4 linked regions of the Nothobranchius furzeri genome follow. The protein of the gene in region 3 purifies or fractionates together with the protein of the main gene of each other region. This does not show direct contact. Links are inferred from orthologs where the notes say so. Each region holds a gene or a part of one and is shown on either strand. Other genes may lie near its edges.

What was found.
Region 1: the proteins of adnpb (region 3) and daxx purify together in Homo sapiens (affinity purification with mass spectrometry; 4 studies listed by BioGRID and IntAct, with this or other methods). This does not show direct contact. The link is inferred for Nothobranchius furzeri from reciprocal best matches to the Homo sapiens genes ADNP and DAXX.
Region 2: the proteins of adnpb (region 3) and cbx3a purify together in Homo sapiens (affinity purification with mass spectrometry; 7 studies listed by BioGRID and IntAct, with this or other methods). This does not show direct contact. The link is inferred for Nothobranchius furzeri from reciprocal best matches to the Homo sapiens genes ADNP and CBX3.
Region 4: the proteins of adnpb (region 3) and znf644a purify together in Homo sapiens (affinity purification with mass spectrometry; 3 studies listed by BioGRID and IntAct, with this or other methods). This does not show direct contact. The link is inferred for Nothobranchius furzeri from reciprocal best matches to the Homo sapiens genes ADNP and ZNF644.

What each region holds. Positions count from the first base shown.
Region 1 is NC_091759.1:22,795,521-22,803,487, forward strand, and holds the start of daxx (death domain-associated protein 6), read left to right. Parts: upstream 1-3,374; 5' UTR 3,375-3,514; intron 3,515-5,444; 5' UTR 5,445-5,462; coding exon 5,463-5,687; intron 5,688-5,877; coding exon 5,878-6,300; intron 6,301-6,438; coding exon 6,439-6,570; intron 6,571-6,656; coding exon 6,657-6,773; intron 6,774-6,849; coding exon 6,850-7,081; intron 7,082-7,173; coding exon 7,174-7,343; intron 7,344-7,510; coding exon 7,511-7,643; intron 7,644-7,967. Other genes in the region: tapbp.1 (TAP binding protein (tapasin), tandem duplicate 1), read left to right, coding at 13-372, 463-786, 1,002-1,103, 1,230-1,258, 1,340-1,351. UniProt on the Homo sapiens protein: Transcription corepressor known to repress transcriptional potential of several sumoylated transcription factors. Down-regulates basal and activated transcription.
Region 2 is NC_091751.1:29,399,014-29,406,891, reverse strand, and holds cbx3a (chromobox protein homolog 3a), read right to left. Parts: upstream 3,827-7,878; 5' UTR 3,678-3,826; intron 3,665-3,677; exon of another isoform or gene 3,347-3,664; intron 3,164-3,346; 5' UTR 3,160-3,163; coding exon 3,017-3,159; intron 2,868-3,016; coding exon 2,711-2,867; intron 2,608-2,710; coding exon 2,513-2,607; intron 2,266-2,512; coding exon 2,139-2,265; 3' UTR 1,778-2,138; downstream 1-1,777. Other genes in the region: nfe2l3 (nuclear factor erythroid 2-related factor 3), read right to left, coding at 6,286-7,031, 7,112-7,589, 7,727-7,834.
Region 3 is NC_091755.1:48,126,302-48,134,208, forward strand, and holds the start of adnpb (activity-dependent neuroprotector homeobox b), read right to left. Parts: upstream 5,298-7,907; 5' UTR 5,091-5,297; intron 114-5,090; exon of another isoform or gene 1-113. Other genes in the region: dpm1 (dolichol-phosphate mannosyltransferase subunit 1), read right to left, coding at 6,628-6,732, 6,845-6,959, 7,049-7,117, 7,207-7,302, 7,448-7,473, 7,645-7,721, 7,796-7,829.
Region 4 is NC_091751.1:71,504,399-71,511,845, forward strand, and holds part of znf644a (zinc finger protein 644a), read right to left. Parts: intron 6,089-7,447; coding exon 5,513-6,088; intron 4,925-5,512; coding exon 4,799-4,924; intron 1-4,798.

The sequences.
Region 1 (7,967 bases), on a different chromosome or scaffold from region 3:
CTGGTTCCTCAGTGGTCCTGAGCGTCACCAGTAAAACCATGTCAGCGAGCTCCAGACTCGGGGAGCCGGTTACGTTGGACTGTGGCTTCTGGGCCGACCCCTCCTCCCCTCTGACTGCGACGGGTTTTGCCGTGGAGTGGCGGTACCAGACCAGAGGTGACGGCCGACTTGTTCTGGCTTACGACGGGAAAACGGACCGTTTGGCTGAAACTCGGGAAGAAGGAGCCACTCTGGACTTTGAAGGTTTGCACACAAGAGGAAATGCTTCTCTGATCCTGCAGGAGGCTAAAGTCCGTCACTCAGGGACATACATCTGCACCGTTTACCTGCCGTACCTGCTGGCTCAGGTGGCCATAGAGCTGGAGATAGTAGGTGAGGAGAAAATTGAAAAGGCTAATCTGATTTATTCTAAATTCTCTAATAAACCTGATATTAACACTTTTGTTCCTGTCTTCTCCTCAGAACCTCCGTCCCTCTCTCTCTACCCGTCCCCTCTGCCCCTCGCTGTTCCCGGTCAGACGATAAGCGTCCAGTGTGAAGCCTCCGGCTTCGCCCCCCTCTCCCTGGAGCTGAGCTGGGAGTTTAAAGGTGCTGATGGGAAGAGCAGATCCCTGGGAACAGGCAGCATGTCGGGCCACAAGCAGGCCTGGGACGGCACCTTCAGCCAGAGCTCCCGGCTGGAGCTGGACACGTCCAGACTGGACCTGGGACGCGGAGGGGAGGTCACCTGTGTGGCTGTCCATCCGGGAGGAACACGGCGGGCCAGCGTGAGCCTCAACATCATCGGTAATCTGGGAGTAACGGAAAATATCTTAGATTAACATGGAAATTTTGGTTTTTGAGGGTCTGAAAATAAAAGGGAAAAAGTAAAATTTTTTACAATCGTTTCCTAAAAAGTCAGATATGTTATTCAGGGATTAAATGATTACAGCAGAATCAGTTTTGATGTCTGAATGAATCAGGAAACGAAAGTAATTTAGGCGTTAATCTGTTCCCCTCAGGGTTCAGCTCTCCCTCCATTGAGGACTCTATGGCGATGGTGGGCGTGGCTCTGGTTCTCTACGGACTCATCAAGTTTGTGTCCTGGACCCTTACTGGATCAGGTGGGAATAATATAGATTATTAAATACAGGAATTTAATCCCTTAAGGCTGCAAAAATCATCTTTTAGCTCTTTAAATCCAGTTTTTGTATTTTTGCCTGACTTTTGTGTCCTTTTTTATTATTTAGGCTCAGATAAAACAGATGGACAGGACAAGGTAAGGAGCGTCGGGTTTGAAACTAAAACATCTTCACTTTTTGTTTTAATGTTTATAACTTTTCCCTCTTTTTCCTCACAGAAGCAGAAATAAAGTTAACAGAAGACGACTGGATTTAAGTTTTCCGTGACTTCTCTGCAGCTTTTCAGCTTAAAGCTCGGATAAATATTCTGTTCCTTCAGCCAGCGTGGTGATGAGTCTAAACGTGGATCAGCTGGATTTTTCACTGTTTTGTGTTGCAGATGAATCCGGGAGAATTCCCTGGAATTATCCTGTTTTATGTAAATACCGACGTGACGGTTTCACGTTAAAAGTGACAAAGCTCTTTTATAAATAAAATTATCTTTTATTTAATGATTTTGTTACAAATTGAAAAAACTTCTTAGAAGCTTTTATTAAAGAGCAAGTCACCCCCTACCAGAGCATTGCTCCACTCCCACTTCCTGTTTGAAAAATGCAACAAATGCTGTTGCCTAGCAGACCGAGAGGGCGGAGCCACTAATAAAATACACACACAGGCTCACAATGACATTGTGACATCATATGGTACCAGCTAACATTCTTGGGTACCTCTTAGCCAATAGTGATGGCAGATTTAAATTCAAATGCAGTGCAGAGTTTTTACCTGACAACGGCACAACACTGACGGTTTTAGGCAGAAAATTAAAATTTGAACTAAAATGCACTAAAGTGCAAATTTATTGACTACACGTGTCTGCAGCATGATTAGACACGCATTTATATAGTTTATCAGGGGAAAAAAGTTGATTTGGGGGTGACTTGCTCTTTAAGTTTAAAATAATGTAGTTTTTAATATCATTTTCATTTTAAACATGTTAAAACGATTTAATTATTATTTTTGTTCTGAACTTAATACCAGAAAAAAATATTTATTTGGACAAGAAATCTCAATTTATTGGAGACAGTAAAATTAATTTAAAATTCTCCATAACTTCTAATGAAATGTGACTTTTGTAAGTCTGAAAAGTCTTTTGTGTATAATTCTGCATAGTTATGAGTCAGGGGTTGTGTTGGTGGAAACTTCACTAAAATAAAGACTTTTATGGGGAACAAGCATCTAATTCTGATCTTTGTGAAGAAAAAAAATCCATTTTAGTAGCAATTCACATAGATAGAAGATATGAAATTTGTTTTTTTCAATATGATAAACTTGTGGGATTAGGAATGATCCAATAGGCATATTTGTGATAAATTAGTATTTATGTTAATTATAGGAATTGTGATTGTAGTTTTAATTTTATGTAAATAACTTTAAGTGAGTTTAGAAATTTAAAACACCAATTTAGTTCATCTGATTAAAGATGTTTTACCTCAATAAAACCTTCTAGGAGATGAATTGTGCCAACTAGAAAAGTAAATTCAATAACAAACAAGTACCATTAGAATTAATGGCGCCACTGATATTTAATAATATAAACCAACACTTCTGGAATATTTCAACAAATTAAAAAGCAGTGTAGCCTTTAAAAACACATAAATTAGTTTGTTGTGCATCTCCTGCAGAATTGTTTAAACAGCAGCTGCCTTGTGTCAGAGCCTGACTAGAATGTTTGCATAAATTTAAGGAAGTTTTGCACAAGCTGACACAAATATGTTTGTAGCTGAAAATAAACACCACAGACATTTCAGTTGAGACATTCAGGACTAAAACATTTAATGAGAAAGATGTAATTAAAATTCTGCAGGAAATTCTGCATGAAAAGCAAGTTTTGGTCTCTGTTGTCATCTGCTTTATAATTTGTAGAAATATTCCACTTAAACGCTTGCATTTATTTTAACTTGTAGAAATTCGGCGTGGAAAACAAACTTCTTGGAGACCTCTATCGTCATACATGTTTCCAGCAGGTGGCGGTAAAAAAAAAGTTAACCAGAAAATAAACCAGAGAAAAAGACACATTCCTTTTGTCCAATGACAGAAGGCTTTACTCATCCCAACGTGTCTTTTGACCAACCAGAGTCAACTACGTGCGTCGGAGTTTAGCGGGTCGCGAGTTAACAATTTAGCTAAGTCTAGAAGCTTTTTGTGAGTAAACAGGAAGCCTCATTGGGTTAAAACTAGAATTAAACAATAGTTTATTTTGTTTATTATCCAAAACAAACAGACTAAGACCAATTTTCGTGTTAACCATAAAAATAAACATGATTACTTGTTGCTAATGCTAACATCAGCTAACCAGCTGCGTTGTAACCCGCAAATGTTCTTTATTTTCTCATCGAACTGCTCTTAAACAAGAGGTAAGTGTTTTTGGTATTTGTGGTCAACTGTCTGTAGCTCTTATCTATTTTAACACAAGATCAGAATTATCTCAGGTTTACTGGCGTTTCAGTTTCGTTTCTGTCCTTTAAAGCTAATAATTTCGCGGGAATGTAAGTTAACGTGTTTAACAACATGTGCTTTGATGTTTTAGTTAACAGCGACAGTGTTTTACTATTAAAGCAAAGCACAGAAAAATGTTGTTATTAAAAGCTAATTCTCGTTTCCTAAGAGGTCCTTAATTAGAAATGTTTGTTTCTACTAAAATAATCCCAAATAATCCAATACTTTATAATAAATTATTCTTTAAAGCATTTATGTATTATGATTGGGTTAGGGTGATTATGTTTTAACATCTACATTTAGGCTAAATATGACATCAACATTATTTCTACACACAAACGTTTGAAATCTTTGGAATGTCTAATTTTATTTTAATGTTTTCAAAATGCCTGAGAGTGAAACTGAAATGGACATAATCTACTTTTATGAGACATACAAGTATTTTGTTTTGATGTAATGTTTATGAATATTTAAATCACTACTGTAAGATGCTGGGAAGTTAGAGATACATTAATTGAATTATGACTAAATATAAATATTATTATTAATAATCATAGGGAAAGGGTGGCTTGCCAACTCCGGGTCGGGGGAGAGGTCCTACCTCAAGTGGAGGAGTTTAAGTATCTCGGGGTCTTGTTCACGAGTGAGGGTAGGAGGGATCGGGAGATCGACAGGCGGATTGGTTCGGCATCTGCAGTGATGCGGACGCTGAGCCGATCTGTCGTGGTGAAGAGGGAGCTGAGCCAGAAAGCCAGGCTCTCGATTTACCGGTCGATCTACGTCCCAATCCTCACCTATGGTCATGAGCTTTGGGTAATGACCGAAAGAACGAGATCACGGATACAAGCGGCCGAAATGAGTTTCCTCCGTAGGGTGGCCGGGCTCAGCCTTAGAGATAGGGTGAGGAGCTCGGACATTCGGGAGGGACTCGGAGTAGAACCGCTGCTCCTCCGGATCGAAAGGAGCCAGCTGAGGTGGCTTGGGCATCTGGTCAGGATGTCTCCTGGACGCCTCCCTGGGGAGGTGTTTCAGGCACGTCCTGCTGGCAGGAGACCCCCGGGTCGACCCAGGACACGTTGGAGAGTTTACATCTCTAATCTGGTCCGGGAACGCCTTGGGGTCCTGCCAGAGGAGCTGGTGGAGGCGGCTGGAGAGAGGACGGTCTGGAGCTCCCTAGTTGGGATGCTGCCCTCGCGACCCGGATAAGCGGAGGAAGACGACAACAAATAATCGTTATTTTACTGAATTAAAAACCTTGTAAAAGTTCTGAGATGTTTTATCTGCTCTTTAGTCTGAAGTCTGTTTATAAACCAAAAAACCTTCAGCAAACCTTATTTACACAATTACATAAATATATTTTATTTATCTGTTTATAAATAATTTGAACATTTTCTGAGTCAGAGCTGACAAATCCAGTCTTCTGATCAACACGAGTGAAGTAGATCCTCTATATGTGGCTTGTTGTGAGATGCTGCAGCTGTTGTTGTTGTTTACGTTTTCACTCACATCCCAGAATGCAATGCAAGTCTGATAACAGGAGGGTGTGGGCCTCAAAGCTGCAACCTTTTGAGGCCACCTCCTTCATCGGGTCTCAGAACTACACTTTTGTTTTGCACCCTAAAGAGAGCTGCACCAAGCAAGGAAGCGGACCAGCGTTGAATATAAACAGCCGAAACGTCACACGTTCTCTTAAATATGCTAAAAGGGTTTAAATCACCAGAGATATTAACAAACGACCTCCATACAACTCTAGAGGTTTACAGAGAACTCTGTCACTTCCTAACCGTTATCGATGATAAACTCGCCGCTCTGCTGATCTCCTTCATCTCGTTTGGGTTTTATAAACAGAAACAAGCTGAACTTGGGATGGCGGTGGCTCCTGCCTCATTGGCAGATCAGATCATTGTGCTTGAAGATGATGAACCTGCGTGTTCCTCTGCCACCTCCTCCTCCTCCAAGCGACAAACCAGTAACGTCTCTCCAGCCCGCCGTCAGCAGCAGGCTCCCACACACATCGTCCACTCTCCTTTTGCTTCCAACAGGAAGAGCGTAAACGCTCTGCAGGCAGAGAACCAGAAGCTGTTCAGTGTGGTGAGTTTATATATATATATATATATATATATATATATATATATATATATATGTATATATATATATATATATATATATATATATATATATATATATGTATATATATATATATATATGTATATAGTTTTATTCTCTAACAAAACCAGATTCACCAAACGCTTCATCAGGTTCCTTTCTGCCTTTTCTCCAGTTTTTGGAGCACTGCACGTCTCTCACTAAGGACTGCCCAGAGGTCTTAACCTTCCTCCAGACCAAGCACGCCAAGGCCAGCGCTGAGTTCCTGTCCTCCGTGGAGTTCAGGAACACGCTGGGACGATGTCTGACCCGCGCTCAGGCCAACAGCTCCAAAACATTCGTCTACATTAATGAACTGTGCACCGTGCTCAAGCAGCACAGCGTCAAGAAGAGGCCGGCCCTCAGCCAGGCGGAGCCTTCTGCATCGACGTCGGGTGCCACCCGGTCTGCTCCCGATTCACTCCAGAGTAAAACTAAAGTGGAGGAGGAGGAGGAGGGGAAACCAGCCGCAGAACGAGCCTCGACGTCAGGAGGTCAGGAGGTCAAGGAGGAGAGTGAAGAAGCGCAGCGGAAGGCTAAGAGAGCGTTAAGGAAACAGGTGAGTGTTTATCTCTGAAGGCTTTAATCCTGCTTGTTTGAACTTTTTCTCACTTATTTGCAGTAAAATGAGCCGAAAAGCTGATTTCCTTTCAGCAGAACCCCCCCCCCTTATGGTTTTACTCGCTCTGATTTCCAGATCGCACACCTGGAGAACCTGCTGAAGTCGTACAACGATGAGATCAGCCGGCTGCAGCAGGCCGAGCTGACTTTAGACGACATGGAGACGGAAGACTCCACGTACATCCAGGAGCACAAACTCAAGCGGAAGGTCGGCTGAGCGGCAGATTAAACCCGGAACGTTGCATCTCCGGTGGGACGACGGGTGACTTTTTTTTTTTTAACGTCTGTTTCCAGATGATGAAGATTTACGAGAAGCTGTGTGAGCTGAAGGGCTGCAACACGCTGACGGGGCGAGTGATCGAGCAGAAGATCAAGTTCAACACGACTCGCTTCCCTGAGATCAACCGGAAGGTGAGTTCTTCTCTTTCGGTGTCATTCCAGCGGGTGGATTAGCGTTTACGTAGGATGTGTTCCTGCTTCCTGTCAGATCGAGCGCTTCATCAACAGTCCCGAGGCTCGTAGCAACCCTCCGGATTATCACGACATCCGGCAGCTGGTGGTGCGCGTCAACGAGCGCCACAACCTGTGTTTGAACCGGAAACAGGTGAGTCAGATCGCCCAGGAGGCCTTCAGGGACACGGGCAGCCTCCTGCAGGAGCGGAGACACCTCGACCTCGTCTACAACTTCGGCTCGCGTCTCACCGACGCCTACAAGCCCGGTGAGGCTCCAGCTCCGCGTTCACGCTGAATACTTTCATTCATTCATCCATGTTTGTGCCTAATCCTCTCATCTCTCCTCCTCCGGTGGAAGCTGACGACCCGGCTCTGTCCGACCTGTCTCTGCTGAAGAAGCTACGGTCCAACAGGGAAGTGGCTTTGTCTCGTCTGGATGATGTCATCAAAAAGTACGCCGTGAAACAGGACGACACAGAGGAGCAGGAGAGAATCCGGAGACTGGAGAAAAACGGGAAAGAGAAAGAGGTGAAGGAAAAATCCCGGCGCATCAGCGAGGCGGAATGTTCCCTTCCTGCTGGTCCGGAATGCTGTTTTATATACCTTTTTATCCGAGGATAAAACAGGAAGCATCAAAACAGTTCCAGGAGTTAACATCTGCGCTCCGACTCTACTTCTTTTACTTCCATGATCAGAAACCAGAAGAAGGAAAACAGACGAGTCAGGCGAACGGCGTGGAGGAGGAGGAGGAGGACGAGGAGGAGGATGAATCATCAGACCCTGACATAGAGGAGGAGATCCAGGCCAGCACTCAGCAGGCTGCCGCAGGTCAGATTAAATCTGGGATTAAAACTGTTTGTGAGATTTCTCAGATTTGATGTAAACTCGACTCGGTTCCTGTCATGGATTTATCAATGTGTGTGTGTGTGTGTGTGTGTGTGTGTGTGTGTGTGTGTGTGTGTGTGTGTGTGAGTTCTGGACGAGTGGGCATGCAGAGAGGCACAGAGCGATACATTTACATTCAGTTGGTTGAGTCCATGATCAAGAATTAATAGACATGAATTTTTCCATAACAGTTCCAAACGGGAGATTATAATCTGCTGACCCGTGGAGAGGTCACGACCCGGTGTCGTTAATCCAGATTAGCTCGGT
Region 2 (7,878 bases), on a different chromosome or scaffold from region 3:
CCGCTGCTCCTCCGGATCGAAAGGAGTCAGTTGAGGTGGTTTGGGCATCTGGTCAGGATGCCTCCTGGACGCCTCCCTGGGGAGGTGTTTCGGGCATGTCCTGCCGGCAGGAGGCCCCCGGGTTGACCCAGGACACGTTGGAGAGGTTACATCTCCAATCTGGTCCGGGAACGCCTTGGGGTCCTGCCGGAGGAGCTGGTGGAGGTGGCTGGGGAGAGGACAGTCTGGAACTCCCTAGTTGGGATGCTGTCCCCGCGACCCGGATGAGCGGAGGAAGACGACAATGATGATATATGTATGTATATATATATATATACACACACACACACACACACAACCTCATTAGAATTTAAAATGGTAATTAATAAAGTTGTTTTATGGGAGGATCACAATAATCACTTTTGTGAATCGCCTGCACCAACGGCTTAATTGCTTATTCACAAGGATGCAGTCATGTATTTAATTGAGATATGCGATTGTTTGTTTTGCACTATCCTACATGGTACTACTGTAGATCATTTTTTTAATGTATATATTGTATATCATATTTCTGTTTCACCTGTTCCTTTGTCTCCGACTGCTTTGAGCATGTACATGACACAAGAATTTCCCTCGGGATAAATAAAGTTGTTCTTATCTTATCCTGAGCCAAGCATGAGGGTTTATGTGGAATCTTATAGAGAACACTAGTTAAAAGGGGATCTTTACATCCAGCGTCAGCACAGAAAATATTGATCATTTTAACACAGAAGTTTTTGTTGTTAGTCAAATCAAAGAAACTTTAATTTTCTGATCTCAGCTTGTACAAGACGTCAGCCATTAATGATAAATTCCTGTAAACAACATGCTGCAGCCTGGACCCCAGATACAAACAAGTGAAAGTCATCTTACCTAAGCAAAGTTTATTTCTGTCCAGCCCAGGAGCCCATCTGAACACAAGTGGTGTGATGAGATTTTAAGTAAATCAGCTAATAACTGCTCCTTTACGCTGACGTCTCCTATCTTGTGTTACTTTATCAGTAGGTAAAGGCCAGAGGGGTGAAACTGGATGTTGTTTAGTCAGAAACGTCAATGCAACTTTATCCCCCATTCGTTCAATAAAAACCACCAATATAGACACCTGAATTCAGATTTGAATTACCAATCACCACACGGTTGGACATAAATATGAAGTTTTAGGTTACGTCACCATCCATGAGTCTACTACAGGTGATAAAGCCAAGTCTTCGATCTCTACCTTTTTAGTGTGAGCATCATTAGGTGAGATGCAATGATCAAATGACAGGTAAAACTATGGTTGGACTGATTTTAGTCTCCTTTAAATGTTTCCATTCATCAACACTTCCTGCCAGCTGTTCCAGGCTTTTTTGGAAGTTTAACATCTCCGACAGGCAAATAGCTGTTAACATGTGACCAGTTACTTTTAAAATAAACTCCATAATGTGTCTTTACAAGTGGTTATAGAAGAAACCAACCATTATCCATTACTGAGAACCAGCAGACTGAAGCCTCATTTACACCAAGTGCAGAACAGAATGAGCAGCTGATAGAGCTCCAGACAGGTGTGGACATTCATGGTCCTCCTTGGATAAATATCTCACCACTGTTCCTCTAAGGAGATCAGAATGCTGCTGCCAAAATAACATTCTGATGTAGGCCAAGGATTGATACCCTGACAGAACCACTCAGCTGGCTGTGACACTTTTAATAAAGCAACATTTAGGTTTTCTTTTTTCTGTATGCATTTGTCCTAAACTACAAATGAAGAGGGTAAAACTAGGCCACATAAAACCTTTATTTGAACTTTATATTTACAAACTGTAAACAAAGCGTTCATTTCAAACACGTCGGCACTTGCATCAAGGAACAAAACATTTAACTGAACTCAAAAAGGTTGACATAGACTCAAGTAAAAAAAATAAACAAATTGGAATGTGGACTGACATTATCGCTTTTTGACTAATCTTATATCCAACCCAGTCACCTGCTTTGACAAACTTTTAATCTACAATACCCCAACTGCCATACAAATGATTTTGTCTCAAATCAGCTAAAGTAGCTAAAGAAGAAAAAAAAAAGCAGAACAGAGAACACAATAAAAACCTAAAACATAAAGGTGTGCAGAATCCAGGCAAAGGCTACTGAGCCTCATCCTCTGGACAGGAATGCCACGTCAGCCGCTCCTCATAGAAGGATATGACCACCTGAGGGCAGCGCGTGTTGGCCTCACGAGCAGGGACCAAGTCTGCTTCATCTGACTCTTTCCTGGGGGACAAAAAAATAAATAAAAACTAAAATAAAACAGCAGATCTTAGAAAAGCCTATTTAAAAATCAAAGAAATAAATTATATATATTCAAGTGATTTTATTTCTAAATACTCTACATGTTTGTAATAAACCTTTTCCGCTTTTAGTTCGACTCCCTAAAAAAACACTAATGGCCATGCAAAGCAACCGAGGTAAATGTGAAACTACTCTTGTTGAAATTGGGTGTAAAGTCTGCCTAACTCACCACTTCATCAAGAACATCAGCTCCCCGCTGCTGTCTGTGGCACCAATGATTCGCTCTGGCTCCAGGTTCCTGGCAAAGCCGCGAGGCTTATCAGGCTGTCAAATAAAAACAAAAACAGGTTATAAACCATATTCTGATTGCACAACCTACAGGGAATCATGCTAGCAGGTCAGAGACATAAAAAACGTATAATCTAACCACATCTTTCTTCTTGGGTTCCTCTTCTGCATCATCTGTGGAGGCCTTCCTCTTCACTGCAGCCGGCTTCTCCTTTATATTCTTCTGGGAATCCAGAAAGGCCTGAATGAGCTCGGGGCAGTCCAGGTTATCCTCGGGTTCCCAGGTGTTGTCCGCTCTGAGGGAGCAAAAAAAAAAAAAAAAAAAACAGGTTAGCGTTCAAACCAAAAACATCCCAAACGTGTTAAAAGGGAAAAGCTGGGAGGCTTCATGCAGCCACGGTGCGTTAGAGGCGGAGAGAGCAGGACATTGTCCCGGGTAACTCACTCTGTGAAGCCTTTCCACTTCAGGTAGAACTCTACTTTCCCGTTGACGATCCGCTGGTCCAACACTTTCTCCACAACAAATTCTTCAGGCTCCTCCTGGGTCTCGGTCTCCTTCTTAGGCTTTGTATTCTGTTTCTTGCCCATTTTGCTTTTTAAAGATAAAAAGACGAGCCGCATTTATTCGGAAGGCCTTAAATCCACCCGGATGCTAGGCTACAAATAACTCAGCCAACGCTAACATAGGACATTACTCTAATTTGGCCCACCTGCTAGTTAGCTCAGCATTTAGCAGCTAAACGTAACAAAGGTTGCTAACACGCTGACCCCTTACCTAAAATTTCCTTGATTTTAAACAGTCTCATCTGCGGATTTTATTTGAGCAACAGAATTAGTAGAATTGTAAAAGATAAAATAAAAACTGTGGTAAAACTACAACACATCCCCACAAAACAACACCTTACTTGCCTTACTTTCAGCTAGCTTAACATATTACAGTAATAGCTAAACAATGGCGATGCTAACGCTGCTGGGTCAACAACTAAACTGCTGTTTGTCAAAAAACCAGCAACGTATAGGTGGCGTTTTAACACGCTCAGAGTAGCCTGATGTAATTAAAGAAATACTCAACATTGTTTTAAAAGAGAAGAACTCCGCACACTCACCCAAAGCGCGCGGATTTCTATAGTTGTTCAGCACCACGCCGCTCGGATGAAGTCGATCCCACAACGAAGGCGGCGCCAAAAACTAGTTGTGGCTACGGAAGCCCAGAAGGAAAAGCGATTCGTCTGCAGCCGAGCTGACCCATGTGTTCCAGAAGGGCCCTTTTCATGAACCAAGGCTTCAAGCCGCTAGTTAACGCAATCTGAGACACGTTGGTAGTAAATGAAAACGTTTATATATGTTTTAAACTATAAAGTAGTGGAAGGAATAAAGCATAAACACTAGCAATCATTTTCTTTTTCAGATTGTTCAAAAATGAAAAATTTAACAAATTGACCCCAAAGTCATAATGCTAATGCTGAATTCAGATTAAATTGAGCACCTGATGTCTCAAGTTGTTTAGATTGTTCTCAGACTGAGTGAAACAATTTCTTTTACTTTCTACTGAATACCGTAAATGACTGGCTTGTGATTTTGAACGAGTATTTGTTAAATATGCTTTACAGCCATATTTTAATAAATCTGTCTGCCTTCTGTCCTGAAATGATGCCGGTCAACACAGGTGTTCAGCTCAGGTGAGGAAAATAATGTTGATATGCTCACCAGCACGCAGCACCATAACAGTAATGGTATATATAACCTGTTAGCCAGACAAAACAAGACATTATTTAAATGTTTTTAATAAAGAAATCAAGTATTCTTCAATCAGATTTATCTTTTCAATAATCACCGCAAACAGACAGACAAATGTGACTCATGCATGAAAAAACAAGATGTATGAAAGTGAAATGCACACAAATAAACGTTTAAACCAGGACAAAGAGAAAACATGATCTTTGGATCACAATTAAGTTTATACACTCCCTAGTGCAGGGGAGTCCAATCCTGGTCCTGGAGAGCCAGTAACCAGCAGGTTTTGTGGTTTTTCTGCTTCAAAATGCTTGATTAGCTGGTTGAATCACCTGTGCAGCAGCTCATCAGGCTCTGCAGAAGCCTGTTAATCACCTGCTGATTGAAATCAGGTGTGCTGAAGCAGGTTAAAACGAAAAACGTGCTGGATAACGGCCCTCGAGGACCAGGATTGGACACCCCTGCCCTAGTGTAATCAAACACTCAGCCTGTCATATTGCATTCTCTAATAATCCCAAACATATAAACAGACAACAATCATTCTTGTTTGTGTAGCGAGTGGATAACATATTTTGCATGACAGGGGATTTCTTCTGTTCTAAAGTTATTTTTAGGTGAGGTTGTGCTTTAGTAGATGTGAGGGGATTCATGTCAGATCAGCTGACTTAAGTAAAGCACAAAAGGGTCAGCAGATGAGTAAAGTTTGCCTTTTTGTGCCATTTAGAAGCATCTTTATGGGAAAAGTGAGAAATTATGTTTTCCAGAATGGGTCTTTGTAACATAGATACAACCTTATGTATCATTTTGGGTGTATTTTAGGAGTAAAGAGATTATAAAACAATTATAAACAAGAAAAAAACTGATTAGAATACCTCACACAATCTCACTGAGAAAGAAAATCCATTTTAGATGAAACTGGAGCCAAAAATCACAGAAAGTCATCCCTGTAAACTGGAAATCAAACAAAAGAAGTTGCGTGAGACCGTTTTAGAATTGTTCTATTTAACTCAGCAAACCTTACAGAAGCACGCTGCATATAAAACAACATTCAACAAAGCTGGGACCACCGCTTTGGTTCATTTTTAGCTGAACATCATCAAAAACTGATTTCTGAGCATAGCATGCTGAAACTCGAACTATGAAGGATTTAAGTCAAAACCATCTATTTGTTATTAAAATCTGCATCAATAGTGTCTTAAAGCATTCGTGTGTGGATTATTTTCGAACCAAATACAACGTTACAAAATAAAGCCTCTTCATTGTAATCATTGGTATTTGGCATGTCACCCCTGGCAACTATGAGAAAGACAAATCTTTATTATTTTTTCCAGTTTTAGCCTAAATAAATAACATTACACACAGTTACCTTAAACGCCCCTGTAAACATTAGATTTACTTAAATTTTACTTTTCCATTTTGAAAAAAAAAGAGAAGGAAACAGTCTTCGTCAAAATGAAAACACTTCAAAAACCTTTCAAACCAGAATAAATATAATCTTCAACTTCCTAGTTCTCCTCAAAAGACTTAAAAAGGCAAATTTACACACAAAACCCCTCGGACCCATACCCAGTAAAGGTGATAGTTTTACGTTATCAGGCCCGGCCCAGAGAGGGGCTGGTTCTGCTGCCAGCTTTAATAAACACAAAGTCCAGTGTGCCCACTACTAATGTCTCAATATTTACAGATATTCTATCGAATTATTCATTTGTGTTCAGAGTGTTGTTTTGTTTTTGCAGCTTCTGATAGTGAAGGCTTATGGCAGTGGTGAATAAACACGCACGCACACACACACGCACGCACGCACGCACACACACACACGCACGCACGCACACACACGCACGCACGCACGCACGCACGCACACACACACACACACACACACACACCACCTACAAAAAAAGAACCCCAAACCCAGAGTCAGTCAAGTTCGGGAATATCAAAAAAAGCCTCTAAAAGCTCAAGTCTCAGCAGGAAACGAAACATCACTGCTTCTTCCCTTTTTTCCTCTTGTTTGTTTTGTTGCCTGCTGATGTGGAGACGGCTGGACGTCTGATGGGCTGAACCACAAACCTCCCGTTAGCGCCACACTGCAGGGTAAATCTGTCTGGGCTCAGGGGCTGTCCTGACCCATCCCTGAGCCGAGCCAGAACATCTCTGGTCAACTGCTTTATCTGTTGGCCCACAGCCCCCATGGTCTTAGCTGTAAGCTGTTTCTCTCTCAGCAGTCGTTCCCTCCGAGCCTGCAACATGTCCACCTCCTCCTGAAGACCGGTGATGGCATCTAATTTCCTTTTGCGGCAGTTCTGAGCTGCCAGTTTGTTCTTCCCCCGCCGGCGGATGTCCCTCAGCAGAGTCACCTGCTCAGGGGAGAGTCCGTGGCTGTCCAGAACCTCCATGAACTCCTCCACAGGCATGTTGACAATCTGCAGGACAGAGAACGGGATGCACAGGGCACGGGCTCGCAGCTCATCACGACTCAGATCCCGCTCTTCGTCGTCGCCAAAAGGCTCTGTTTTGTGGGGCAGTTTTAAAGACGCCTTGTTGAGGAAAGCAGGAGACGAGTAGCTGTGATCGTGCCACACGTTCTCACTCAGATCCACAGGCGACCGCATGGTGGCGTGGTTCATTACACCCTTTGGGGGTAACGGATGCACCTCACTGCTGTAGCCTGTAGCTCCACCTTCGTCCTCGCAGTACGAGCTGCTTGATGAAGACATCTCAGATGAGCCTGAAGGAACGAGACGTAAACGACAGCGTTCATCACAAACATTCTGACAACAGGAATATGATGCGGTGGTCTGAGCTAACCTGGAGACACTGGACCTCCATAGCTGCTTTCTAGGGACAGCCCAGAGTCTGAGTCCAAGTCCTCGAGGCCACGAGAGTCCATGCAGCTCAGAGTGTCCATCAGCTGATTGTCGATGGCTTCCAGGCTTTCTAAGCCAAGCTGATTGATCTGATCAAACACGGCCTCATCAAGACAGCTGCCCAGCGAACTCTGGGACATCATAGTTCCAGTTAGATTACACACAGAGGCAAACGGGAGCGCCGCGAGGCCCACAGCCATGCCGGGTGATGCATCTGAGAGCGAGGAGTCTGAGGATTCCCGCCGTAGCAAGGTTCTTCTCTGCTGGGTGACTATCCTGGTCTCAGCTGTTCCAGATCCCACACCAAACGTTCCACCAGCGGTTACCATGGCATCATGCAAACTGACATCCTGGCTGATGGCGTTGGTGATGTCTGCATCAAGCTCAGATGGACGCTCATTAACGAGAGAGTCCAGTTCCTGCATAAGAAACACACAGAGCACTTTAGATAAAAACAGTTTTCATTGTTCAGAAAAGTTCCACAAAAATCACTCTTAGATTTCCAAGCTTTTCTATCCAAAATGTGCTTTTAGATATCAAAGAAACAGAAACTTACATCAAGGTCTGTAACAGACAGTAAGTTGCTCCAGTCAATATCCGAGGCAGGGGGAGGGGCATAGTGATGTACTGGGTTAGACAGAGCAGTGATGCCTTCAAAGAAACTCTGGAAAACAACAAGAAACCCTTAAATACTCCAGAGGACACAGA
Region 3 (7,907 bases):
TTTAGCAGAAAAGGCCTTTTCACACGAGATTACCAAAGACGATCTTCACCTTTTGATCTTTTGGTCACAAGGACACTTTGGTAAAAAAAACTTTGATTAAATAGAAGCGTTGCTTTGTGAAAACAGAAAAACCACAGCTTATTAATGCCGCTCTGAACTCTCAGCATCCCATAACTGCTGCTGGTCCACTATTTTCTGCTGACCCGTGTGTGGCCTTACACGCCACCGTCACTACAATGAAAAACAATCAGTATTGATAAATGCCAAACCAGTGGTGTCAGCAGCTTTATCCATCATTTCCAACCAGTTGAAAACAAAACACGGGCTTTCCCCTGACCAAGCTTTTGCACCGTGCCCCACATCCTACCTGGACGGCACACTTCTCCATCTCCACCACCGGACCTCTCTAGCCGAGACATGTGCACTTAGAAACAGCGTTTGCCCAACAGATTTAGATTTCATTTGGATAAAAAAATCTAATAATGCCAACAACTTCACAGACTGACTAGAGGGAGCAGAGACATTCTCAAAAGTACAACATGTTCAGTAGGGCTGCACAAATATCGAAAAATTATCGTCATCGGAATAACAGGACGTGCGATAGGCCCATCGCAAAGCACGTCAAAAATGGCGATAAATGTTTGGTTCAACATTTCCATCCGTGTCATACATCACCTTTTTGTAAACCAGCTCTGTTTTTTTACGCTGAATTATTATTTGACCAATCAAATGGAGCCCTTCTGATATGCGGCCAATCAGATAGGTCCGTTTACGTAATACGCCCACCCCCTACGTAGACCTTAGGATGGAAAGCAACACCCGAACTGAGTTAGAGGCGCCGTTCCCTTGTTCGTCATGCTGGCTCAGATTAACAAACGCACTTTGTGCTGAGGTTTCTGGAATCAGCGCTGCTTTCAAACGTGAACGTGAGTTCGCTCGGTGTCGTTAAGCAGCTGATAATAACCGGGCTGACTCCGACACGTGCCGGTGAACCAACCCACCTTCACGTCGCTAGTGTTCCACCGGGTGGTGATGTTAGCCCCAGGCTCCGGTTAGCTTCCAGCTAAAAGGCTACAGCACTCTCCTCCCAGTCCCACCCTGCTAAAGAGGGCCTGGAAAAGTTCCCCCACACATCAAAGTGATTTTTCATTTATGAGCTTTTATAACCTTGTTAATCAGGATAGTTGATTTGCTGCTGCACATAAACTGTCAGTCAGAAGCTCTGCTAGCCGGTTATCTTAGAGGAGCTAGCTCAGTTTGTTAGCTTGTTATCAGAATCATAGTTGCAGTTTCATCATCAGGGCTGCTTTTAGCTTAAAGCACACGTAAAGACCACCCGCAACAGCTACCAGGTAGTGCCAGTGTATAGGGCACTGGCGCTACACTTCACTGCTTTTTAAGATCTAGGTAAACTTGTTCAATTTGGGGTTAAAAACAAACGTTTTCAAATATTTTCCATGTAGATTCTTGCCAGTTCCTCTTCTGAAAGGTAGACAATTGTTTTTCTCTTTCCCTCAGAAAATCTTAATATTCTCCTAGTTTGGCCCAGCACAGTTCACTTCCCAATTACAGCAACAGCCTTATATCATAACCACATAAGTGGAGAAAATGCTCAGTAGCAATGAGAGAATTTGCTGTTGCATTTAAGTGATGTTAACTATTATTTAACATTTAAACTTATTTTCTAATATCTTTATTTATTCCAAAAACCCTGGTAAGGAACGTTTTTCTGTATTTGGAGCATCAGAAAAAGTTTTATAGTGGAGGTGATGTTTTAAAGTCACTGAGAAACTGCATGCATGCAGTTTGTTGTTTTGCTGCTAATACAGTAGCTGGTGCAGCTGCTAATACAGTAGCGGGTGCAGCTGCTAATACAGTAGCGGGTGCAGCTGCTAATACAGTAGCGGGTGCAGCTGCTTATACAGTAGCGGGTGCAGCTGCTTATACAGTAGCGGGTGCAGCTGCTAATACAGTAGCGGGTGCAGCTGCTAATACAGTAGCGGGTGCAGCTGCTTATACAGTAGCGGGTGCAGCTGCTAATACAGTAGCAGGTGCAGCTGCTAATACAGTAGCGGGTGCAGCTGCTAATACAGTAGCTGGTGCAGCTGCTAATACAGTAGCGGGTGCAGCTGCTAATACAGTAGCGGGTGCAGCTGCTAATACAGTAGCTGGTGCAGCTGCTAATACAGTAGCGGGTGCAGCTGCTAATACAGTAGCGGGTGCAGCTGCTAATACAGTAGCGGGTGCAGCTGCTAATACAGTAGCTGGTGCAGCTGCTAATACAGTAGCGGGTGCAGCTGCTAATACAGTAGCGGGTGCAGCTGCTAATACAGTAGCGGGTGCAGCTGCTAATACAGTAGCGGGTGCAGCTGCTAATACAGTAGCGGGTGCAGCTGCTAATACAGTAGCGGGTGCAGCTGCTAATACAGTAGCAGCTGCAGCTGCTAATACAGTAGCAGGTGCAGCTGCTAATACAGTAGCGGGTGCAGCTGCTAATACAGTAGCGGGTGCAGCTGCTAATACAGCAGCAGGTGCAGCTGCATAGTTTTGCAATAAAAATGTTATGTTGTAATGGAATTCATGCATTAGTTTTTGTTTGCTTTGAACCCAGAGCAGACGTCACACGCCAGACGACATCAGCACTGCATACTTTAGTATTTGTTCATTTATCGTGAGTAATATCGATATCGCAATATTAAGCACGGTTATCGAATATCGCAGGTTTTCCTAATATCGTGCAGCCCTAATGTAAAGTATTTGTTGTACATTAAATCTCAACCGTGATGACTGACTTTTGTTCCTACTAAGAGAAAAAAAAATTGGTACGGACCAGAAAGTTCAAGTCCAACAACAGCTGATCCAATCAATGGAATCAACGTCTTTTATGAGTTCTGCTGGAACAGGCCAACAGCCAAACAAACCATTTTAAATGAAACTTTGTTGGGGCTCACAATGACCCAAGAGCCCTGATAAATGACCAGCCACACCCCCTTAATGAAGCCCTACAACAGGAAGACCAAGCAGAGCACTGATTGGTCAGTTGACCTTGATGTCTCAATGATGCTACATCATATGGATAATTCTATAAGCATTCAGGGGTAGTCTGGATAACCCCAGTCCACCCTAGAACGTTACGCCTGGATGTCTTCCTCACGTTCAACAAGGATGTTAGCAGTAGTTCGGGCTAGTGTTGTTGTGTGGTTAGCATTCTAACTACCAACATTTGTAAACTGCTGACGTTGAGGTGGGTTGGGACATGCAAGTTTCAGTTGGTTTGTCTATGACTATTGATCGTTACATAAAAAGCAGGTCGGAGACGGCACAGACTTTAGGAATGGTGCATCCGATCCCCCTAGCTCCCAATGTTCAACAAGATCAACTCTAGGATGCTTTAACATCTGTATAAATGAGATTGTTAAATTTGCCAGACTCAGCTAAATGTTTTAGTTCTATTGCTCAAGAAACAAGCTCTGTTCAAATCAAAGCTTCATGCAGGAAGGTCAAAGGTCACTGGTACACTAGGACAACAATCTACATTTCCAACAATTCCTGTTAACATCTCAGCTCGTTACCCCTTGAGGAATCTGAGGAAATGAGATATAGATGCTTTTGTGGGTCCATCACCTGCCTGGCTGACCCACCTGCATCCTAAAAGTCAACGACCCACCTCTCCCCTACCTGCCTTTCTCCTGCTTCCCTCCCTTTCTTGTAGATGGTGCAGCAGAGGACTCCCATTATGTAAGCCTCCCTACGTTCTGCCTGGCCCCTTTTCTCCCAGCCTTGCAACACCATCACAGAATGGCGCCTCCTATTGAGTAAGCAGCAGCCCCTACAATATGTCTGCAGCAGAGGGGGAGGGGAGTGGAGGAGAGAGTGATGTTGGAAGGGAGAGGAAGAGGAGGGAGAGAAGGAGTGAGAGAAAGAAATCATGGGGGGGGGAGTGTGCATGGAGGAAGAGAAGGGGGAGTGAGCGGGTAAGTGTAGAAGGAGTGCAAGGGGAGAGATGGGGGGGGGGGGGTGAGCCAGGGAGGTAAGGGGAGGGGGGGGGAGGCAGGGAGGTCAGGCACACAGAGAGGAGAGGGGAAGGGAGGACTGGGAGGCTGGAGGGACAGAAAATGGAAGAGGGTGAGAGAAAGAGAGGGCGATGCAGAGCAGGGGAGGGGAGAATAGATAGCCAGGGAGAGGCTGAGTAGGAGGGAAAGGAGGGAGAGAAGGAAGAGGACTGGGAGGAAATGCAGGAAGAGGCTGCTCTGCTGTGGCGATGGCTGCTGGCAGAGAACATGTTTCCCATTCTGCAGTGGTGCTAAAGAGAAAGAAAAGAGGCCTTGAAATCTTTAAATGCTGCCGAATAATCCAACAGGATGTGATAACCAATGTTCTCAACCCTCATGTTTACCATTCCTCCACGTTTACTAAGAGGTCACACTTCTTGTGACATCCATGTTCGCTTTAATAGAAGAATAATAGTCTTAAATGCCTCTGATGAGGTTTCACCACACGGCTCAACACCTGTAAACGGTATTAAAGGTGACAGGATGTCTGAGGGTGACCATGGCAGCACTGCTCCCCTTTAGAGGCACACACCTGAACTCACCTGTCTAATCACAGACAACCAGGACTCCCTCATAAACACTTCCTCACAATCGGGTTCAAAACCAAACTGTTTACACTAATGTGGTCACTCTCCTACAATCCCATAATAACCACAGGACAGATCGGTCGCTGTAGCAACGAACAGAACAAACTGTGGACCATCCGTGGTGTTCGTGATGAGTTAAATATCCAAGACAGCTGACAGAATCCAGATAGTTAAAAGCAAAAAGCTGCTGCAACTGACAAAGGAGGGATGGTGGTGCCGCGCTGAGCTAACATGCTAAGCTAACACCCAACAACATGGGTTGAAACGAAAGCTGTCGCATTTTCTCTTGGTTCTTCAATAACATCACGATGCGTTTAATTTAAGAATGAAACTTGTTTACCACCCCGACACACTAACACTAGCCACCACCACCCATCCCGTCCCGCAGGTAGGCAGCGGCAAGCGGCCACCATCTGTGGACTCTCCCCGGCATTAGGACATCCAGGTTTACCTGCTTTTACATCCAGTGCTCCCGTCTGAATTAAATGTGTCACCTCAGGATGACCGAGGTCGAGTATTCACGCTCCCGCTTGCACGGATATGTCGGTAATTCCCTCCCAGGTGCTTTGTGGGGGAGAAGTCACCCGGGCCGTCGGTCTACCTTCCCAGCCCGACAGCCCCTCAGCGACGAGGGCTATCCGCTTTCCCGTGGTCGGAGAACGGAAAGAGAGAGCTTCGGCGGGCGATTAAAACCTCCGTTTCCTGGAGCGGTGAAGGTAGACACATGTCAACTACCGACGTACTTTACACTCTGGTGAATTAATTAATTCAACTCTGATCGTAATTCTCTAACAGCGGGTTCCTTTTTACCCGTTCTCTCCCGACAGACAATACACATCCAGCCAACCAGCTGCCCTATCCAAAATGGCGCAAATCAAAGAAGCGGAAGTGACATATTCCTCATTAGCATAAATAATAAGACCAGGTCCTCGCTCTCATGATTGGTTTGCCAATCAGTTCGAACATTTAGGCAAACATCTGCTTAAAATAATAAATGCCTCCGTTGTCTTAAAGTTTGTGGACGGTATTGATTTCCTGTCTCTCTCTGCGGGGGTAAACAACCAGGCGCAGCAGTTACGTTTACGGTCCGGTAGCGGGCGTCCTGGTAGCTCCTCCCCTGCGGAGGCTCGGATGTGCACAGTGCCTCAGCACGCAGCTGGAGGCCGGGCCAACACTAGGTGGCGCTGTGATACCTCCATCCATTCAGCCGGGACTACTTTCCTGTAAGGTGGGACCGGACTCTGCATTTCTAGTTATTATAAAACCTCTTATTTGATGGTTACTGATGAACTTTTTCTTCTAAAATGTTTTAATACAAGTGTCTAGGGTTTGTTTCCAATTAAATGAAAAATACAGACATCTTCTCACACAAAAACCCAGATTATGTTCTAAACTACAGCTTTTAGCATGTTTCCTTTAATAGCAGACGTGGATTCCCAAAGATCTTAGATCCTTTAAGTGTTTCTTCCTGGATAATCCAGACATGTCCGTGATATTTTTGGGTATTTGATGTATGCCGACATTAAAAGTCTTACAAGTATATAAATGGAGTCAATTTCTAATTTTTGGATATGGCAGGTGTGATCAGTCTCAGGTTTCTGTTTCTTAAGTCAAGAGTTCATTTAAATTCGCATACAATTTCCATTGGATCAATTAAAAATAAACAAACAAGAGTCTACAATTAAAACGTGTTTATTTTTATGCATTTGCAAACTGTAATAATAAAGAATTCCAGAAACATTCTGCGATGGGATTGACAAGACTTGGGAATCACCATTTCTTCAGCATTCTGAAAACTACAGAAAAGAACATCTTCCACAGTTTTAACTGCTAACACCTTCCTTCTCCTGTGTTGTCCTGTCACCGTATGATTACAGAAAGTGGTGAACGTCTCTCTCTTGTTTTTAATTTGGTGAAACTTCTGTTTTAAAGACAAACTTGTGGAACGAGGAAAAAAAAAAGCTCCCAGAAGCTCTGAACATCGCTGATCACGTCGTGGCGAAGAGTGTGAGCAGTCCTCTCACAAATGACACGATCTCATTCCCTCCCAGTTTTGACTCTCCATAAACCCGATCCACAAAGGAAATAGGAACCTGCGAACGACGAGGAGAAAATAAACCTTAGTTTAATTTCAGCGGAAACGTTGAGAAGAACTCATACAAAGTACAAATATTCAAAGAACCCAACAGCGTGGTAGGTCAACACCTCTCCAATTGTGTAGTTGAGCTGTCTGGCTCGGACGATCATCTCCATCTGGAACACGTAACCTTTAGACACACACCGCTCCACCAGACTCTCCAGCACATTTTTCTTGTATAACCTTCCAAAAGCGTAGGGAAAAAAGCACAAAAGTGAGGAAACGGTTCAGTTTTCTAGTCAATGACGATTCAAACCTCTTGCATCAGTTACCTGAAGCTGCCCGTGAGGTCCGAAGCGCCGGGTCTCAACAAAACCTGAGTCAAAAAGTTAGCACCTCGACTAAGACACAGGAGAGAAAAACAAATCTCGTTTTCATCGAGCGTAGGAGAGCGGACACTGGTGACCAAGTTCTGCTCACTGGCCGTTACCTGATGAGTTTCCTGCGCAGGTCCCAGCCGTAGACACCTCCATTGCCCTGATAGCGAGTACCAGACACAAGGTCATAACCACCTTCCTTCTGCTTTCTGTGAATGAAATACGATACTTTACCTAAAACATGCTAGAATAATCCGACTCGTCACACATGGATGAAAGTTACCCTGATAATCAGAAATGTTGCGAGTCTTTATAAACGCACCAACTCATAACATAAAAAACAATTATACTTACTCAATAAATTCAGGAATAAACTTGGGCTGAAATAAAATAAAGACGAATAAAATACACAGCAGTGCAACAAAATAAATAAATAAATAAATACTCAATTGGACTTTACTAGCCATTTGTGTTTTTCCAGACAAGATACTCAAAAGATGTCTTGTTTCTAAGATATTTTATACATCAAATACACTCGTGCATCGACTCACGTGATGGGAAAGATCTGCATCCATGATGATGATGAAGTTCCCAGTGGCATGCTTCATGCCATGGATGTAGGCTGTGCCTTTAAAACATGAAGGGATGATTACATCCACTGGTAATGTTTATAAAGGAAATGCAATAATTTTACCAACTTACCAAGGCCTAATTTTTTCTCCCTTGGTCGCAGAACCTGAAAAATTAGAAGGATTTAACAATTAATGACTGTTGATTATCACTGTAAAGTTTTGTGATAAAAAAAACAAACAAA
Region 4 (7,447 bases), on a different chromosome or scaffold from region 3:
GATTGCCCGTTGACCGTTGGAGATAGGCTTTTATCCAAAGCGACGTACAGTTTATAACCTATAGGTCATGTTGTGATCTGTGGGGGAAACCGGAGTACCCGGAGGAAACCCACGCATGCATGAGGAGAACACGCAACTCCACGCAGAAAGGCCGCAGCCGAGTTTCGAACCTGCAACCTTCATGCTGCGAGGCAACAGTGCTAACCACTGCGCCACCATGCAGCCCATAATCTAATTATAGTGTGTTGCTGTTTTAAGTCCAGCAACGGTCAGTTTTTAGCTACAGTTTGACCGTTCAACATCTGGTCAAAAAGGAGACACGAGACTGCACGTGTTCCCTTTAAATTGGCCTGCCTTCATCCCATCAGCTGGAGCTCAGAGCCTGCAGCTCTAAACACAAATAACAACATGTCAACAATAACATTCTCTCCTCAAGGACCAATCTTTCAGGTCTCCATGCATCTGAATAAGGAACACTCCAGCTCGGATCAGTTGCTAAATCAAGAATGATTTCCTAAATTAAATATGAACTTCTACTACTTTTAAGCTAGATAATCATTAAATAAATGTTTGTTTATTGCTACTTATAATAATTATAATGAAATGTTTCATTAATCTGTGCTTAATGACTGAAGTTTGAAATGAATGTTGTGTTGTTTACATGGCAAGGTCATCATCATTTGCGCTCACACAAGCTCAAGTAAGGTTAAGTTGAACTCGTGACACATAAATGGTCTTTTACCCCAGCCAGAGCCTCCATATCAAAGAAGGCGTGTTTCTGAGGTTGTCTTGGTAACCATTCCTCAACTTGTCAGCCTTTGGTTGGCTACGCAAATCATAATATGAGATCCTTAAAACTGGATCACTCTGGTGATTCATCAGTTCTTGAGAAAGCTTCAGACCGGCCACCTGAAGCAAAACCTCTCTAACCCATCAAAGCTTTTCACACGTCGCCAAAATCTTTTTGCACCTGCGAAGCTGATGCAGCAACAGTTCCTGCAGAACAAGCTGATATTGTTTAGACTCCTTTAGAGTCCCAGACGCCGTCTGTCATGACCCGAGACATCTCTGGACTGAAGCGTCGGTGCCACGGTATTCTACAGCCCTTCGGTGCCAGAGGTCAGCCGACCTCTCTGACCTTTGGATCCACCAAGAGGGTCTCCGAGAACGAGTGAAGTAGACACACAGATTGCGTCTGATGCCTTTTGATAATAATCAACTTCTTAGCTTAACGCAAACCAAAGTCTTCTACACCCAGAACTCAGCTTTCCTAGATACGGAAGTTCTGATAACACCGCATTCACACCTAGGTTCATACATCACATTTAGTTCCATCCATCACAGTAAATGTTAGTTAACTTGTCATGTTAACCATTTACATGAACATACGAGATGATTCTCAGCACATACGTCTGTATACACAGCTGCCATCAGTCACCAGATCTCATACATCTGTCCATCAGAGAGATGTCAGAGACGAAGTCTCAGTGCGTTCAAAATCGATCTAAAGTTATAAACCAGGAGCCTTCGTCCTAGTTTACATGTACAGTAGAAAACCAGCCTCTCAAAGTTAGCGCCAACAAACGCTGGTGGGAGCGAAGCAGATGGAGTTAAAACAGGATATGCACCATGGTTGAAGCAGCACAGCTGATGTGGTGCAGACCGGACTGGACCTAATATCGTCGCCACAAGGTGTTATCAGAAGACCGCTTCCTCGATCTCGTCACTTCTGGAAGTCACCGGGATCAGCTCGCCGGAGCCGTTTACACGCAGAAGAAGTCTGGTTCCTACCACGCCATCTGGGTTTTTCAGCACGATTAGAGCCAGTTCGCCTTGAACCAGACTAACGCGTTTACATGGATGTAAGAAAAACCTGATTTAGGGCAACAATGTGCTTTTCTGGTGCACATGTAAACGCACCAACATGTAAGTAGAGCCATTCTGAATGACTTGAAATGACCTGAGATGTTGTAGTCATGACATTTTTTGATTATTCATTTCAGCCCTAAAATAGACCTTTTAGGACTCACTTATTAATAAAATACGAACATAAAAGATTTAATGTTTTGGTCAACAGCCTTAATCTGCCTGTGAACGCCACATTTCTACATGTATGTTTTACTTCTATAGAGTCCTATGGAAGTGTTTAGTGTAAATACTTAAAGCTACAACAGCAACTTCAACCCTTTTTCATGCCTCTTACCAACGTTCTAACATAGTACAGCAATAAATGTATTGTGGAGGTTAAAGGGGCAGAAAAATGGCGTTAATTTAAATGTAGAAACTAGAGCTGGGCGATATGGCCAAAAAATAAAATAACCGATTTTATTTGCTTGAATTCGATTTCCGATTTTGTCCGATTTTTCTCAGACAGGTTCCAGCAGTCAAGAGCGTCTCTCAGTCCTTTGGCGATAAGTTCACTGGTGTGGTCCTCAGGAAAGTATGACGTTTGGAGGGAAAAACTATGTAAATCCCACGCATTGTTAATGAAATGCACCGTTAAACTCATACACGGCTGCATAGTTCAACTGCTCCACATGTCGCTTGTTGCCAAAAAAAGGACAGCTCCTCCAGTTCTCTGCCAACTTTTTTGCGTGTGTTTCTGTACAGCTGCGGCAAGACTACTTCACTGAAATACTTTCAGCTGGGTAGCTCATACCTGGGATCCAATGTTTTCATCAAATTTATAAACTCCGTCTTCTCCATGGTATATATGGGTACCATGTCTTTTGCTGTATACAAAGCAACCGTGTCGGTGATTGTAGTCCACCGGGCCCCTTTCTTGTCATATGCGGTCCCCTGTGCGAACGATTTGGCTACAGTTAGCAATTTTTTAGCCGCTGGTTCTTGGTCACTGCGGCTTTGTTCGTCTCGGAGAGACTGGCATTTTTCGTGTTTGGCTTGATGCCTCTGTTTTAGGTGTTGAAACAAGTTAGTGGTGCTGCTGCTGCCTTTGATTGCAACGGGTTTTAGACAAAGGTTGCAGCATGGGGTCTCTTGTTTTATGTCTGTTGCAGCAAACCCATACCAGTTCCAAACAACAGATGATTTTATCCCCTTCTTCGGAACAAACTTCCCACTCTCACCGCCATCACCGGTCGCCATGTGGTCGCTTGCTGTCTGTTGTTTTGTGTGTTTTTGCTCGCTCGTGGGTGGGGAACCTGATGCTACGGGACCTCCGGAGGGCCAAAAAGGCGCCATTACAAAAACTCGATTTACCTACTTTATGAATCGCCCGCAACAAAAAATTCGAATTAATTCATTTTATCGATTTTTCGCCCAGCCCTAGTAGAAACTGATCTTTGAGCCTCTATTTGCATAGAACATTTAGTCGGAGCTTAAAATGTCCCTAAAAATAGACAAAACAGGCGTAATAAGACCTGCTTTCCCCCACTCTACCAGTGTGTGTGTGTGTGTGTGTGTGTGTGTTGACTCAAGCCTACAGTAGAAGGGTTTGGAGGAGAGAAAAGTGAAAACTAGGAACCACAGCCTTTATAATATAAATAAATAAAATAGTACGTTATAAACGTACAGGCATATAACGGACAGGTCTACTGAGAAAGACTGTAAAAATGAACCCTTTAGGGCCAAAGTGGCAATATTGTGACCAGCATCATTGCTGGGTTTAACGAGTCACAGAGGCTAATCTAATGGCTCATGGGTCGCCGCCACAGTTACGATGGTGTTGGGATGAAAAGGGAGAAATGGGAGTTGGGGGTGGGGCTTGTTTCATTCTGCTTGTTCTGGATTGAAAGCTAAAGGAGCTGAGAAGAGAAGTCTGTAACGAGCCGTTTTGTTGGATTAATGTAATAAATTATCTTCCAGAATAAAACAGCTGGTGTGTTCCTGTTGACATTTTCCCATCTGGAGACTCCCGACCCAGGACAGCAGACAAGCGGAGCACACAGAAGACAAATATTATTTATTAAAGTGGAAAAAGTTGCAATGCTGACGGGTCTGTTCACTGTTGACTAGGGATGGGTACCTTTGACATTTGAATGGATTCTGTACTAACTCCCGGTACCCAGGAATCGATACCGGTACTTAACGGTGCCAATTTTAGATACTTGTGAGTGTTTTATTTTAATTCTCTTTTATAATTAAATATATATTTTCTCAATATATAACCATATTTGATAAATATCACGATAAATAACATACAACTGTTTGTATTTTAACATAGACTGTGGATCTATCTGGCATTTATTTGTACTCTGGATTTTTCAAGTATATCCTGAAACCTTCGTGGTGAGTAGTGTTTTTCTCTCTTGCAACAAAGCTGTAGCTAGCTGAGGCTAACAGCTAGCTGGTGCTAACTAGGGTTGGGAATAAAAACTGGTTCTTGTTGAAAACCGGTTCCTATCGTTTCAATTCCTAGGAATCGTTCGGCACTTTTGCAAACGTGCCCCTTATCAATTCCAGTCTGCGCGAATGACATCACCGTGCACGTTGCGTAGCTTACGGAAGCAGGAAACATGGCGTCTACGCGGCACAAATGCTCGAAAGTTTGGTTATACTTTACACGAAAGCATAACAACAGGGTAACTTGCAATAATTGCAGAGTGGATTTTTCATCTAGGTAAAAAGCCTTTGGGCACAAAATACGCGATAACGTAGAGTTAATGACGTGTTTAGACCCGCTCCGAGCTAGGAATTTCAACGCAGCACACCATGGTTTCCATCCATGGCCACAGAAACACCAACAGCTCGGCTGGTGGCCTGTTTGTTGCTTGGCTGACGTGTTAAAGGCTACACCCTTACAGTAGAAAGGCCTACTAGTGTTGGTGACAATACTTACTGGTTCCCTCTTGTAAGGCGATCCTTTTTCTTTTTGCATATGCCCGGAGGTGATTGGAGAGGGCAACTCCGCTGTGGAAAGTTGCATTGCAATGAATGCACATCTTCCTGTTGAATTCACCCTTTTCTGCAAAAAAAGACACAAAATGTAATAACATTTTCCTAAGTACATTACATTGATCTTAGGACATGACTAAGATCTGAGCATAGCTGAAGCCAGTCTACATATCTCTGAACTGCAAAAAACGTTCAGGAGTTCGACCATTCATCTATCGTTGATGAGTGTCTGTGCAAAAACTTAAATCTGCAATGACAGTTTTTGTGCAATCTTCTCAAATTTTACCACAGCAATTACTTTAATCACTATACAATCATAGACATATCGTTGCACGAAGCCAATTAACTGATGTTTGATATAAAAATGTTGTGTTGACGTAATTTCAAAACCTGCATTGAAAATGAGCTCGTCTAAAACAACAAAATTAAAAAATTGCTAAATTATCATTAAAGTTGATGTGATGTATTGAAATATTTAATAATGAATTGGCAGTGCATAAAAATAAAGTCAACGCTAAATGTTCCAAACCTTACCTGTGTGATTCAAGAGAATCAAATAAGTGTAAGAACATAGCTTCTGTTAGAAAATAACGTCGACAACATCAGGGAATTCCTTTGAAGGAATTCTGCCTTTTACCTTTCTGAGGACGTTGCTTACCAGATGGAGAGTTTGGCAGTGATCCTGAACTGTGCTCACTATTTGAAGAAACCGTTGACTCATTTCTTGAGATCGGAGTTGATCCTTTTAGTCTGGCGTCTTCTTGACACTTCCTTTTTTTCAGAATCCCTATTAAGGCAGTTGTGCCTGAGAGAGAATTTTTAACACCCATCTTCTCCAACTGCCCATTTTCAGACTTAATGTCAGATAAAGTAAATGTGGGCATCAGTGGTTTGGTGTCCGTGAGAACACTTGGGATGGAATGACTTTTGGGGAATCTGGTCTGAGAAGAGGTGAAGCGATTAGTGATGGGCAGCTTTGGTGAAGCACCATAATGAAAATGGTTTCGTCTTCTTCCCAGAATCTGAAGGGCTTGTTGAAATTCCTTTTTGTCTCGCATCAACTCATGCAGTAAAATGATTGGGGATTTGCTCTTTGAAGCAAAATTTTTCCCAAGCTTTTTCAGATGACCTCTTATATGGTTAGACTGCCCCGTCCTGTTATCGAACGCATCCCCACAGAGCGGACAAGTGTGGAGGTCAGTCACAGTCTCCGAATCTGACTCTAGCTGTAGTGCTGGAGGAAAGAACAAACACACACACACACACACACACACACACACACACACACACACACACACACACACACAAAATTACAGTGTATACTTGTCATGAATACCACCTCACAGCCATGTTATTAATACTTGTTCTGTGCTTGGTTCAGTTACAAAAATGAGGATAAAGGTCTTAAAATCAGCTAAACTGTTAAAAATAACAACACCAAATATTGAACAGCTTTATATCCAATCCCCATTGTAGAATGTTGGGATACCTCTTACAGGTGGAGCACCTTCCTGGTGACCATAGACAAGTCTGGCTTGATCTACCAGTAATGATTCGGCCATCAAGAACCAAAGAACATCTCATTAAAGAGCAAGTCACCCCCCTACCATAGTCTTACTGCACCCACACTGCCTGTTTGAAAAATGCACCACAAGGAGGTGTTTCCTGGTGTACCAGGAGGGCAGAATTGCGACAGTGAGTGACGAGGACTGCTACGCTCACTCCATGCTCAGTGAAACTGCATTGGAGAACGGAACCACTAATAAGCACGCACAAACATTCAATCTGCTTAGATGGAGATGCTAACGCACACACACACACACACACACACACACACACACACACACACACACACACACACACACACACCTCACAAGTAGAGCTAACACACACAAATACACATGACTCAGACGAAATAAAGGCAGCACTTCCTAGAAACTGATAGGGACACTAGCTCCTTTGCCTCAAAGCAGTCACCAGAGGGAGGCTTTATGAAGAGATGAGTGACCCTGAGCCATATCGTTTTGAACATATGGCTCATGAGTTTCCCAAGGCTACTGGTACCAAGCTGTAAAACAGGTGTGCTTGAAGAATGGACATTGTAAACAGGCATGACAGGGGGCACTGAGGACCAGGGTTGAGAACCCTGACCTAGCCAATAGCAATGGCTGTTTCAAATTACATGAAGTGTGCCGTTTCAACCTGAATAGGGTGCCTTTTAACTTTTAAATAAGATGTACTAAAATGCAAAAACAATTACACATCTACTACAGCACTATTAGACACTCAACTATAACATTTGTTGGCAAAAAAGGTTGATTTAGGGTTGACTTGCTTGTTAAGTCATACTCTTGGTTGAAGACCTACTATTTATTGGGTAACTAGTTTTTAATCATGCATTTATTCTAATAGTTTGTAAAGCAAATTCTGTCACCCAGGACTGGGTTGCTGGATGTTTAATTTGCTTATTTTAAAGAGAGGGTTGATTAAGTTGATCTACATTCCAACCACCACCTCTTAGTAACGACTTATTTATATCCATCCATCCATACATCCATTTTCTACCGCTTACCCAGAGTTGGGTCATGGGGGC